2 linked regions of the Xenopus tropicalis genome follow. The protein of the gene in region 1 purifies or fractionates together with the protein of each later gene. This does not show direct contact. Links are inferred from orthologs where the notes say so. Each region holds a gene or a part of one and is shown in the gene's direction. Other genes may lie near its edges.

Region 1 (6,265 bases):
GACTCCCATTGGGGGCATTTCTACTGTAAATAACCGGTCTGTGCGGCCCCTGTGTGTCACATGACTCCCATTGGGGGCATTTCTACTGTAAATACCCGGTCTGTGCTGCCCCTGTGTGTCACATGACTCCCATTGGGGGCATTTCTACTGTAAATACCCGGTCTGTGCTGCCCCTGTGTGTCACATGACTCCCATTGGGGGCATTTCTACTGTAAATAACCGGTCTGTGCGGCCCCTGTGTGTCACATGACTCCCATTGGGGGCATTTCTACTGTAAATAACCGGTCTGTGCTGCCCCTGTGTGTCACATGACTCCCATTGGGGGCATTTCTACTGTAAATACCCGGTCTGTGTTGCCCCTGTGTGTCACATGACTCCCATTGGGGGCATTTCTACTGTAAATACCCGGTCTGTGCTGCCCCTGTGTGTCACATGACTCCCATTGGGGGCATTTCTACTGTAAATACCCGGTCTGTGCGGCCCCTGTGTGTCACATGACTCCCATTGGGGGCATTTCTACTGTAAATACCCGGTCTGTGCTGCCCCTGTGTGTCACATGACTCCCATTGGGGGCATTTCTACTGTAAATACCCGGTCTGTGCTGCCCCTGTGTGTCACATGACTCCCATTGGGGGCATTTCTACTGTAAATACCCGGTCTGTGCTGCCCCTGTGTGTCACATGACTCCCATTGGGGGCATTTCTACTGTAAATACCCGGTCTGTGCTGCCCCTGTGTGTCACATGACTCCCATTGGGGGCATTTCTACTGTAAATACCCGGTCAGTGCTGCCCCTGTGTGTCACATGACTCCCATTGGGGGCATTTCTACTGTAAATAACCGGTCTGTGCTGCCCCTGTGTGTCACATGACTCCCATTGGGGGCATTTCTACTGTAAATACCCGGTCTGTGCTGCCCCTGTGTGTCACATGACTCCCATTGGGGGCATTTCTACTGTAAATACCCGGTCTGTGCTGCCCCTGTGTGTCACATGACTCCCATTGGGGGCATTTCTACTGTAAATACCCGGTCTGTGCGGCCCCTGTGTGTCACATGACATCCATTGGGGGCATTTCTACTGTAAATAACCGGTCAGTGCTGCCCCTGTGTGTCACATGACTCCCATTGGGGGCATTTCTACTGTAAATACCCGGTCTGTGCTGCCCCTGTGTGTCACATGACTCCCATTGGGGGCATTTCTACTGTAAATAACCGGTCTGTGCTGCCCCTGTGTGTCACATGACTCCCATTGGGGGCATTTCTACTGTAAATACCCGGTCTGTGTTGCCCCTGTGTGTCACATGACTCCCATTGGGGGCATTTCTACTGTAAATACCCGGTCTGTGCTGCCCCTGTGTGTCACATGACTCCCATTGGGGGCATTTCTACTGTAAATAACCGGTCTGTGCTGCCCCTGTGTGTCACATGACTCCCATTGGGGGCATTTCTACTGTAAATACCCGGTCAGTGCTGCCCCTGTGTGTCACATGACTCCCATTGGGGGCATTTCTACTGTAAATACCCGGTCAATGCTGCCCCTGTGTGTCACATGACTCCCATTGGGGGCATTTCTACTGTAAATAACCGGTCTGTGTTGCCCCTGTGTGTCACATGACTCCCATTGGGGGCATTTCTACTGTAAATAACCGGTCAGTGCGGCCCCTGTGTGTCACATGACTCCCATTGGGGGCATTTCTACTGTAAATACCCGGTCAGTGCTGCCCCTGTGTGTCACATGACTCCCATTGGGGGCATTTCTACTGTAAATACCCGGTCTGTGCTGCCCCTGTGTGTCACATGACTCCCATTGGGGGCATTTCTACTGTAAATAACCGGTCAGTGCTGCCCCTGTGTGTCACATGACTCCCATTGGGGGCATTTCTACTGTAAATACCCGGTCAGTGCTGCCCCTGTGTGTCACATGACTCCCATTGGGGGCATTTCTACTGTAAATACCCGGTCTGTGTTGCCCCTGTGTGTCACATGACTCCCATTGGGGGCATTTCTACTGTAAATACCCGGTCTGTGCTGCCCCTGTGTGTCACATGACTCCCATTGGGGGCATTTCTACTGTAAATAACCGGTCTGTGTTGCTCTCAGGCTGCAGCTTTGGTGGAAGAGGAGACCAGAAGATATCGGCCTACAAAGAACTACCTGAGTTACTTGCCCACCCCCGACTATTCCGCATTTGAGGTAATGGCTTTCTCCCTATTCTGCAGCACCCTACACTGGGTGCCCCTCTGCTCTATTCACGGTGGTTGCACATTGGCCAACCAAATGGCTTCCCTGCTAGAGAACTCACCCTGGCAACTAAGAACCTATTGCTCTGTGAGGCTTCAATTTTATTGTTACTGTTACTTTTTATCCAGCCCCTCCCCTATACTCATTCACACCACTGTCTGGTTGCTAGGGTAAATTTGACCCTAGCAACTTGATATCTCTGCAAAATATTAATACTTCATTATTCATTCTGCTACTACTCGTCCTTATGTCTGTCAGTTCTCCAAAGATTGCTTTCATAGTCCCATAACCCCGAGGGGTTTGCATGCACAGAGCCCACCCTGGCACCTACTGGTGCTAATATCACGTGGGTGGGGGGCATGTTCCCTTCACAGAGGAGACCAAGATTCCAACTTTCATTCATTTTATTTAGACTGAAATCATGAGGAACGAGTTTGAAAGACTTTCGTCGCGCCAGCCCCTCGAACTGCTCAGCATGAAGAGGTGAGTGCCGTCTGGTTACTATGGGTTACTGGACCAAGATCTGTGCATTGCTTTACAGCCCTGTGGTTTCCATGTGGTCTCATTGTGCTGAAGGGTATCCGTGGAAATACCATACCCCTCTCTCTGATTCTAGGTATGAGTTACCGGCCCCCCTATCCGGCCAGAGGAACGACATCACCGCGTGGCAGGAATGTGTCAATAACTCCATGGCCCAATTGGAACACCAGGCCGTCCGTATAGAGAACCTGGAGCTCATGTCCCAGCACGGCTGTAACGCCTGGAAAGTCTATAACGAGTGAGTTGGGAACATGGCGTTGGGGGGGGGGGGGGGGGGGGGTGTTGATTTACAGCACAGGATATAGCATGACCCAATGATACTGCCGCCCTTCAGTCACGTGATTCTTCTGTCTCCTCCCAGGAACCTGCTGCATATGATCGACTGCGCGCAGAAAGATCTCCAGAAGTTACGGTGAGACGGCATTAAGCCCATACTAACCATATATATATATATATATATATATATATATATATATAATCCTTCCCTGGCCGTGGGGAAGAGAGCAGCCCAGAAGCAGGAAGTGCAGAGATTTAGAGCTCAGTTCCTGTGTAATTACTGGGATGAGCTTCGAGTTACCTACGTGGGGTAGTTCCTAGCCCTGGGGTATTACTAGCAGTTGCACACTTCCATTTTAACAGCTCTAACGCTTTCACTATTTGTCTTGTTACCGGAACAGGAAAAAGATTCAGGACTTGAACTGGCAGAGAAAGAACTCCCAGCTGACAGCAGGTGCCCGACTCAGAGAGATGGAGTCAACGTAAGTGAGATTTGTGCATTTTGTTCACACCTAGGGTGAACTTATCAAGGGAATACCTACTCCCCTATACTGTATTTCCATGAATGAAGTACACACAGGCTTTGAGTGTGCCTAGCGGGCTGTTCCTGCTGAACAGGGGAATCCCTATGCTGCCATAGTTTTATGGTATCTCTCTGTACAGGCTATGAGCAAACTTAGGGGGCTGTTCCTGCTGAATTGTGCTTAGTACAGGGGAATCCCTATGTGCCATAGTTTTATGGTATCTCTCTGTACAGGCTATTAGCAAACTTAGGGGGCTGTTCCTGCTGAATTGTGCTTAGTACAGGGGAATCCCTATGTGCCATAGTTTTATGGTATCTCTCTGTACAGGCTATGAGCAAACTTAGGGGGCTGTTCCTGCTGAATTGTGCTTAGTACAGTGTATGGTATTTATGGGATGCTAATATTTTAGCTTTAATAGAACTGGTAGTCATTTTCGTCTGTCTCTAACTTGCTTTCTGTGCCGGTTGCAGGTGGGTGTCTCTTGTGAGCAAAAACTACGAGATTGAGAGAGCAATTGTGCAAATGGAGAATGAAGTCTATCAGCTGAAAGAGAGGAGCGGGGAGAATAAGGAAAATATTGAAGATTATTAAGGCCCTGCCCCAAGGATTACAGGTTCCAGGGTAACAGCACCGGTCCTGCTGCAGAGACTCTGGCGCCATGTTGGGCAGCGCTGCTGGGGGTTCTGGTTGCTTTATGGCTCTTCACTCTGGAAATGTAGCGAGTAGTCTCTGCCTGGGTGCTGATAGGCGCAGGGATGGGTCTCCCTGTTTCACCCAAATGCCCCAGTGCTGCCTCGTAGGCCGGGCACATACCGGCTTTTATAAGGAAATTCTGACTTGTTTTTCACTGTAATATTAATAATAAAGTGTTTTCCAGAAATCTTCCACTTTTATCATCCTGTGCGCTCCTGGGGGTCTGTACTGAGCACCCCACACAACCGTAACCCTGGCCTGGGTGGGGGCACACCATTATATATTAGATAGCACCCCCGTCTCTGCACAAGTGCCTGATCTCACCAGAGGGAAATAGGTATGTTCTGAGCTGGGACGGATTTCCCACATGGGCAGCTTCGACAGATAACGGGTCATGTGTGTAACAGTGAGAGGAAATCAGCGTAAAAACCAATGAACTGTCTTCTATAGGCCATAGAGATACAGTGGGAAAGCCTGGCATTGCCCTTCCTCCTGGGTCTCATCTGTTTTTACAATGTTAATATCATGAAGGTGTAACAGGAGCGCCCCCTGCTGTTCTGTGCAGGCGGAGACACAAGCAGCACTGAGCCCAGAGACACTTCCAGCATCAGCAAATGAAACTTTTCCCCTATCTGTCTGGCTCTGACTTGGTGTGAATACTGCAAATAGCATGGAAACTAAAGAAGTAGGGCAGAAATGCTGTACATTATGTTTTGGGCTTCTGTACCAGCCACACAGCCCTTCAGCAGGGAAGATCTGTGCCAGTAAAGATGCCCCAGTAGCCCCCATCTTCTCTTCTGCCAATTCACTGCACATACTCTGTGCTGCTGACACAATATACTGTATGTATAGAATATTAATGTTGCAATATAACACTGATTAGTAAGTAATACAGCTGCCCAGAGCCCACTGAGCATGTGTGAGTCGCAGACACTCCTCTGACGGCTGTAAAGACCTGAATCACTGATGCTAGAGGGAGGCTGAACCTGTAGGCTGGGGCAGTAAGTTCAGTATATAAAATATAGCATTTCTAGCCATGTTCATTTTTAGGGTTTAGTCCTTAAGTGCCCATAATGGCGAGGCTGGTTACTAAGGGAAGGGCAGCCGGGCAACCTGTACAGAGCAGCAAGGGAGGTTAAACGACTGGCAGCACAAGTGGAAATGAAGTTCTAATAGAGAGTTTATTATACAGACAGTATGGCAGGAACATGTACAAGTGCCGCAGGGTTTGGGGCTCACTGGGCCTGAGCCGCCGCTTTCCTTTCCGCAATCATCCGGTGTTTCTGCTTCATCAGACATTTGCGAGCGTTGCCGTAAGCGCCGAGGTCGCCATCTGCCGACACAGAAGGAGTTTAATGGTCAGTAAGTTTAGTTGCTTTCGCCCAAGCTGCCAGCAAAATGTGCCTTGGGGGGGTCAGACTATCAGATGCCCGGCACAGGCAGGAGTATTAGACATGTGATTTGTCAGCGACTCAGTGGGGGTGCCAGTGTGAAAGGTGGGGGGTCAGAGTATCTGCTGCCTGGCACAGGCAGGCACTTTAGCCAATTCATTTGTCAGCTACTCAGTGGGGGGTGCCAGTGTGTGTGGGGGGGGGGGGGGGTCAGACTATCCGATGCCCGGCACAGGCAGGCACTTTAGCCAATTCGTCAGTTACTCAGTGGGGGTGCCGGTGTGTAAGGAGGGGGGAGGGGGACAGAATATTCGATGCCCGGCACAGGCAGGCGCTTTAGCCATTTCCTTTGTCAGCTACTCAGTGGGGGTGCCAGTGTGTGTGTGTGGGGGGGTCAGACTATCCGATGCCCAGCACAGGCAGGCACTTTAGCCAATTCATTTGTCAGTTACTCAGTGGGGGTGCCAGTGTGTGTGGGGGGGTCAGACTATCCGATGCCCAGCACAGGCAGGCACTTTAGCCAATTCATTTGTCAGTTACTCAGTGGGGGTGCCAGTGTGTGTGGGGGGGGGGGTCAGACTATCCGATGCCCGGCACAGGC
Region 2 (6,534 bases), on another chromosome or scaffold:
GCTGTGGGTTTTATTTATTATTATTTACAAGTGTGTAATAGTATACTTGCTTGGCCTGTGATAGGGCAGTATTGAGACACACCATAAGAAATTTATAGTGGAGGAAATCCGCTTTTGCACGAGATTTACTCCAAACGTGTTCAGCGGAATGTGCACAGGAGCGCAGAAATCACGTCTGAGGGTTAAGCCAAGGACGGGGATTGCGGGCATGACTGCGTTGCGGCTGCAGGGGGCATGGGCGTTTATTGCAGATGATAAAATAGAGTTGCAAGTATTTACCAGTAACTCAGGATCAGAGGAAGCACAGAAGGAGGAGAGGTTAGAACTAAGAGATTTAGAAAGAGCAATTATATCAACCCTTCGAGTGTTTTAGGCCGAGCGTTAGTAGAAGGAGAAGGAGATGCGTGTGAGATAGAAAAAGAGATAAGATTATGATCTGAAAGAGGAAAAGGCTCACTGTTAAATGCAGATAGATCTAGATTTTTGGAAACCATCAGATCTAGGAAATGACCATCCTTATGGGTAGCTGTATTAGTCCACTGCTGGAGATCATTAATTAGGAGAACCAATAGCTTATCTGAAAGAAGTTCCATTGTTAAGTGCTGGCTCTTTCTGAAAGCTCAAAGGCAGACACAATGGGGCACATTTATTAACAGTGGGCAAATTTGCCCATGGGCAGTAACCCATAGAAACCAATCAGTAATTACCTTTTTTCAGCCAGCTGCAGGTAGAACTATGAATGTAACAATTTGGTTGCCATAGGTTACTGCCTGTGGGCAAATTTTCCCACTGTTCATAAATGACCCCCAATGACCTGAGATGGCTCCCTACACATCAATATTACAACAAAAAAAATACATTTATTGGTTCAAGAATACAATTTAAAATGGAAGAACTAATTATTTGTAATGATTTGCAACTAATTATTTGCAACGTAAAAAAAACTATACCATACAAATTATGACAGAATCCCTTTAAAAACGGTCTTAACCACAAAAAAGGAATGAGTGTATATTTACTGAGTGGTGCTCTGCAAAATTTTGCAAATTATACTACTTTTCGCATACCTCCCAACTGTCCCGCATTTCTCCACCCTGTCCCGCAGTCCTGGATTGATTTTGAAATGTCCCGCGTTGTCTGAATTGCCCCGCTTTCTAAATTTCCCCTCTCTCTGCTCTTCTCCCTGTGACGTCACACTCGTGTCTCTCGCTCATTTCCATTCTAACATTTATGTGAATGCATTGCAGAAGCTGCGGTGCTCCCGATAGACGCGAGTGTGACATCATGGGGAGAAGAAGAGCCGGGGGACGCAGCAAGAGGCAGCAGGCGGGTGGGGGGGGGAGCAGGGGGAGCCGCAGGGAGGATGTTGCGGGGGAGTTGAAGGATGTTGAGGAGGACGCTGGGAGTGAGCTGGAGGATACTGGGGGGGAACTGGAGGAAGCTAAGGGGGAGCTGGGGGACGCTGAATAGGATGTTGCGGGGGAGCTGGAGCATATTAGGGGGGAGCTGAAGGATGTTGGGGAGGATGCTGGGAGGGAGCTGGAAGCTGGAGGAAGCTAAGGGGGAGCTGGGGGATGCGGGGGAGCTGAAGGATGTTGGGGAGGATGCTGGGGGGAGCTAGAGGATACTGGGGGGAGCTGAAGGATGTTGGGGAGGAAGCTGGAGGATGCTAAGTGGGAGCTGGGGGATGCTGGGGAGGACATTGCGGGGGAGCTGGAGGATGTTGGGGAGGACGCTGGGGGGACCTGGAGGATACTAGGGGGAGCTGGAGGATGCTGGGGAAGATGCTGAGAGGGAGCTGGAGGATGCTGGGGAAGGTGCTGGGAGGGAGCTGGAGGATGCTAAGGGGGAGCTGGAGGATGCAGGGGAGGACGCTGGGAGGGAGCTGGAGGATGCTGGGGGGAGCTGGAGGATGCTGCAGTGGGGAGCAACCCATACTATGGGGACAATGGGGGAGGACCAGCAATGTTTAAGGGGGCCCTGGGCTGGCTAGCAATGTTTTAGGGTGTCCCTGCCCTGCCACCAATGCAAAACGTAACACCTGGCTACCAATGTCATGATATACAGGTGCTACAGTGCGTAATGAAATTCTTAGGGCTACATATGTGATAAATGTCATAAAATTATTGGGGCCACCATGCCTATCTTCTGGTGCACTTTGTGTGTGTTATGTTTTTCAGGTGTGGTTTTGTAAAATGGGCCTGGTTGGGGGGCGTGGCCATAAAGTGGGCGTGTCCTGAAATATTTGTCCCTCCTTCTACTTTTCAAATGTTGGGAGGTATTTCTGAGATAGATGTTTTAGACTGCTAACAGCAGGCTTTCGCCTAAATAACTTATCAGGTAGTCTGTCTATGCAAATCTTGTATGTATTCCGTTTACCCTCAGGTTGCCGACTCTAAAGGCAGCCTAAGAATTGATAAAGATAATAAATTAATATAAATAGCACCAAACATGCATATATGTGGGGAAGCCCTTAGATAGTAAACACAACTAAAGAAGAGACTGACACGTATGATAATCACAAAGCGCTGTGAAATACTTCAGTGCTGCCAGGAACTGCAGCTGTACACATCCGGCTACACTACGCCGAGTCTATCTCTTCTTTCATTGCTTTACGTAAAACGTCTAGCTGTAGAGCGGATGTAGAAACAAAGAAAACCGGAAGTACTTTGCCGACGCTGGTTACACGCTGTTTCCAAGTTTACCTCGGTAGAACGGAGATAGCCCGCCAAAGGGCCTGCCCAATTTAAGTCTGAAAACAGGGAGTCCTAGCTGAACAGCATCACTAAAAAGAAAACAACGCTATTTCTCGCCTAACCATATTGCTCAAAGAGATACCTGGAAGATGTCTTTGACATGTTATAGTGAGTGCAACATAAAACAGCAGTAGAATAGCACTACCGGATTCATAAAATGCTTGTATAAAGTTGCTGAGCATCGGCTGTGTGGATGCAACGTGTCATTTGATACGATATTTGGTATACAGGTCCTATATATAGAAATTCAATGCAAGTTATTTAATAGTAGAAAATATTTTTCCCTAAATTTGTGTTTATGTCAACAAAAGTTGTATTGTATCTGGAGCTTGCTAATTGTGTTAAGTTAATATTTTTTGTAATATCTTGATGTATGATTTGTATACATTGATGTATGCCCCAAAAAGTTGGCGCTCTCTTTGGGGTTAAGATTTTAATCACTACAAGGATTAGGTAGAGGAAGGCAGCTCAAAGATATATTTAATTATAGTTCACTTAAAAGTAATTGATATAGATAAGTGGTATTTTTTTTTTCCCTCAAGTTTGCTTTTTCACATTAGTATACTCAGAGTATCCAAATTAATTGTATTGACATTGATTCAGGAGCGCGGACAGGGTTTGTATATACATTGATGTATAGTCATATTTAAAGCATTCAGAAAATGCAAGCAGGGTTATTAGCTGGGGATAGCTCTGTTAGAAATATGGTATTGTGACCATGATTTAGAAATATAATGTAAGAGATTGTAATTTGTGTACCTTTGCTTGCATACAAAACATTTAATTCATTAATGTATAAAATGGTTAGACTCCAACTTTAATGAAAGGTACTAAATACTTAATGCTTTTGTTCCTACCACTTGAATTTTAGGACATAATTGTATTTGACAGTACATGTGTATTTAAAACCTATGTTTAGACTTATAAGCAATTATGCCATTTATAATCTAAACATGTTTATAAAAATTCACATTTTTCTCATTTGCCTGTAGTCAGTAATGAGGTCACAGATCGCCCCTGCATTTCCCCGGTGTCGGGTCATATTTTTGATCGCCGCCTTATTGAAAAGTATTTGGCTGAAAATGGGACAGATCCAGTAACAAATCAGCCCTTAAGTGAGGATCAGTTGATTGACATTAAAGGTCAGTAGAGCTGTGAAAACGTCTAATGCTATTTTTCTTTGTGTTCAGTTTAATGGTACAGGTATGGGATCCCTTATCCAGAAAGTTTCCCATAGACTCCATTATAAGCAAATAATTCTAATTTTTTCCTTTTTCTCTGTATTAATAAAACAGTGCCTTGTACTTGATATATTTAATCCTTATTGGAGCCAAAACTATCCTATTGGGTTTATTCAATATTTAAATTATTTTTAGTGGACTTTAGTTATGGAGATCCAAATTACGGAAAGATTCCTTATCCGGAAAATCCAAGGTCCCAAACATTCTGGATAACAGGTCCCATACCTGTATAGGGAATTTACTTGTCATTCACCTGTAACCCCCCCCCCCCCCCAAAAAAAAAATTAGCCATACCTAACACAAAAAAAAACCAAAAAACTATAATTTCTGTTGGGTCATTTAAAGGTATTATTTTACGTTTGCACAACGCACAGTAATGCTAATTGTAGCTAGAGATGGCACATTGCTTCCAAAGCCAAATTTTACATTTTAATTAGTGTATGTTCCCAAACTTCACTAAGTGAATACACATAATTTTACAGATTTTTAGAAGAAAAATAACTGAATTATGCATTAGTAAGCCAATTTCTTGCTTTTAATTAGCCTATAATATATGGATCCACATATTTTTGTATTGCACTTTTTGTACACAGTTCTATGAAATACTTTTACAAAACTCTTAATGTTATTTTGGTTGACTGTGTCAAAAGACTTAAAAAGGGGAACTTCTATATCGTGGTTGGGCCTTACATATAGGTCATATTACAGACTATTTAAATTTTGTCTTTATTTACCTGTCTTTGAGCTACTGTATGTAAAATGTAAACTGGTAACAAGTTTAGATATTTATAATACCTAGACCTGTCGCAAAAAAAAATTGATTAGTAGATCTACATAAGAATAAATAGATTGTGCTGTGTATCCATTTATACTCTAAATTACACATGAGTGGTCTAAACAGATAATAGAACAACATTTTTTAAGTTTAATTCTTCTTTAATCACAGCAAAGAATGGAGCGATGTTTTTACTTTTTCTTCAATTAGTTTATTGAAGGGTCTTTTATCCTGTTTCTTACAGTAGCCCATCCAATTCGTCCTAAACCACCTTCTGCAACCAGTATTCCAGCAATCCTGAAATCATTGCAAGATGAGTGGGTTAGTATCTGGATCCTTCACTTTGTGCTTTCTCTCCTTACTGTCTATAAAATGTGTTGGTGTAGATTAAAAAAAAAAAAAATAGAACATATGTATTGCACAGCTGATTATTAATAAATAGATTTACAAAGCGTAACTGTATTCATTAGCCATGTGGTAAAGTGTATTGTTAGTGTTTAATGTATCAGGTTTTTTACTTGTTTAAATTAGTAAAGGGTAAATCTGCTGGGTATATTGTTTTATTGTTTTATACATGTGTTCTTTGCCTCAGTATATATTGTTTTATACATGTGTTCTTTGCCTCAGCAGAGGCAAAATTATGGAAACCTAATAGAGGTTTTGATATATCTTTACTGTTTCCTGCAGATACATTATTGCATCATAAGTGAGAATATGAAAATTACTGAAATTATTTTGATATCATGATGTTAAACATAACCACATAATACTTAAATATGGCAAGGTTTTGACCTTATGTACAGTAGTATTTGTTTTTTATTCATTTTTTTTCTCTAATAGTGGCAGCAGTAGCAATATATATGCACTGGCGTTCATTTGGAGGGGTTAAACTTGATGGACTTTGGGGTTTTTTTTCTACCCAGTTTAATTATGTAACCAGTTTCACTTTGTGCATGTTCATAGTTTGTTAGTAGATTGTGAGAGGGTTCGATTAAAGAAAAAAAATAAGACTTTTTTTTTCGGCTTGAGCCCCATGTGTGTCTACATTATCTATCTTTAGATGTGCTTTAATCATTGTGCAGCGAATAAGTTCGATATTATGTGGAAGGAAGCTATATAAATCCCCCAATATGGATCCATTTTTACATAAAGAAATCAGACCTACAGATTGTTTTTGCTGTGGAAAAATGGAGTAAGTTATGAGTAACCTCAGTCAATAATATAGCTTTTTCTAATTTCAGGATGCAGTGATGCTCCACAGTTTCACTTTGCGTCAACAACTACAGACCACTCGACAGGAGCTCTCTCATGCACTTTACCAGCATGATGCTGCTTGTCGTGTCATTGCTCGTCTTACCAAGGAGGTGACAGCTGCCCGTGAAGGTATGAAGTGCAGAAGGAGAGTGCTAGTATAAAAGGATTATTAAAGGAGAACTAAAGCTTAACTGAAGAAATAGGCTAGAAATGTTGTACATTATGTTTGGGCTTGTGTACCAGCCCAAGGTAACCACAACCCTTTAGCAGATTCCCCCAGTAGCTCCCCATCTTCTTTTCTACTGATTCATTGCACATGATCTGTGCTGCTTTAAGTTACAGAGCTTAGGGACCCACTCACAATATACCGAATATATAGAATATAAATGTCACCGTATATGGTAGATTAGTAATTTATTCAGATTCACTTTACATGGCAGCTCTAAAACCAGTGCAGTTAGCATCAGAATTTAATAATCAAACCTGTAGCATCAGCTTCTATGACAGC

What was found.
Region 2: the proteins of bcas2 (region 1) and prpf19 purify together in Homo sapiens (co-immunoprecipitation; 10 studies listed by BioGRID and IntAct, counting the BioPlex papers as one, with this or other methods). This does not show direct contact. The link is inferred for Xenopus tropicalis from reciprocal best matches to the Homo sapiens genes BCAS2 and PRPF19.

What each region holds. Positions count from the first base shown.
Region 1 is NC_030682.2:7,011,418-7,017,682, forward strand, and holds the end of bcas2 (pre-mRNA-splicing factor SPF27), read left to right. Parts: intron 1-2,099; coding exon 2,100-2,192; intron 2,193-2,652; coding exon 2,653-2,723; intron 2,724-2,856; coding exon 2,857-3,018; intron 3,019-3,141; coding exon 3,142-3,192; intron 3,193-3,457; coding exon 3,458-3,538; intron 3,539-4,050; coding exon 4,051-4,171; 3' UTR 4,172-4,460; downstream 4,461-6,265. Other genes in the region: ndufb10 (NADH dehydrogenase [ubiquinone] 1 beta subcomplex subunit 10), read right to left, coding at 5,509-5,606. UniProt on the Homo sapiens protein: Required for pre-mRNA splicing as component of the activated spliceosome. Component of the PRP19-CDC5L complex that forms an integral part of the spliceosome and is required for activating pre-mRNA splicing.
Region 2 is NC_030683.2:60,625,408-60,631,941, reverse strand, and holds the start of prpf19 (pre-mRNA-processing factor 19), read left to right. Parts: upstream 1-2,716; 5' UTR 2,717-2,845; coding exon 2,846-2,864; intron 2,865-3,748; coding exon 3,749-3,898; intron 3,899-5,016; coding exon 5,017-5,093; intron 5,094-6,013; coding exon 6,014-6,155; intron 6,156-6,534. UniProt on the Homo sapiens protein: Ubiquitin-protein ligase which is a core component of several complexes mainly involved pre-mRNA splicing and DNA repair. Required for pre-mRNA splicing as component of the spliceosome.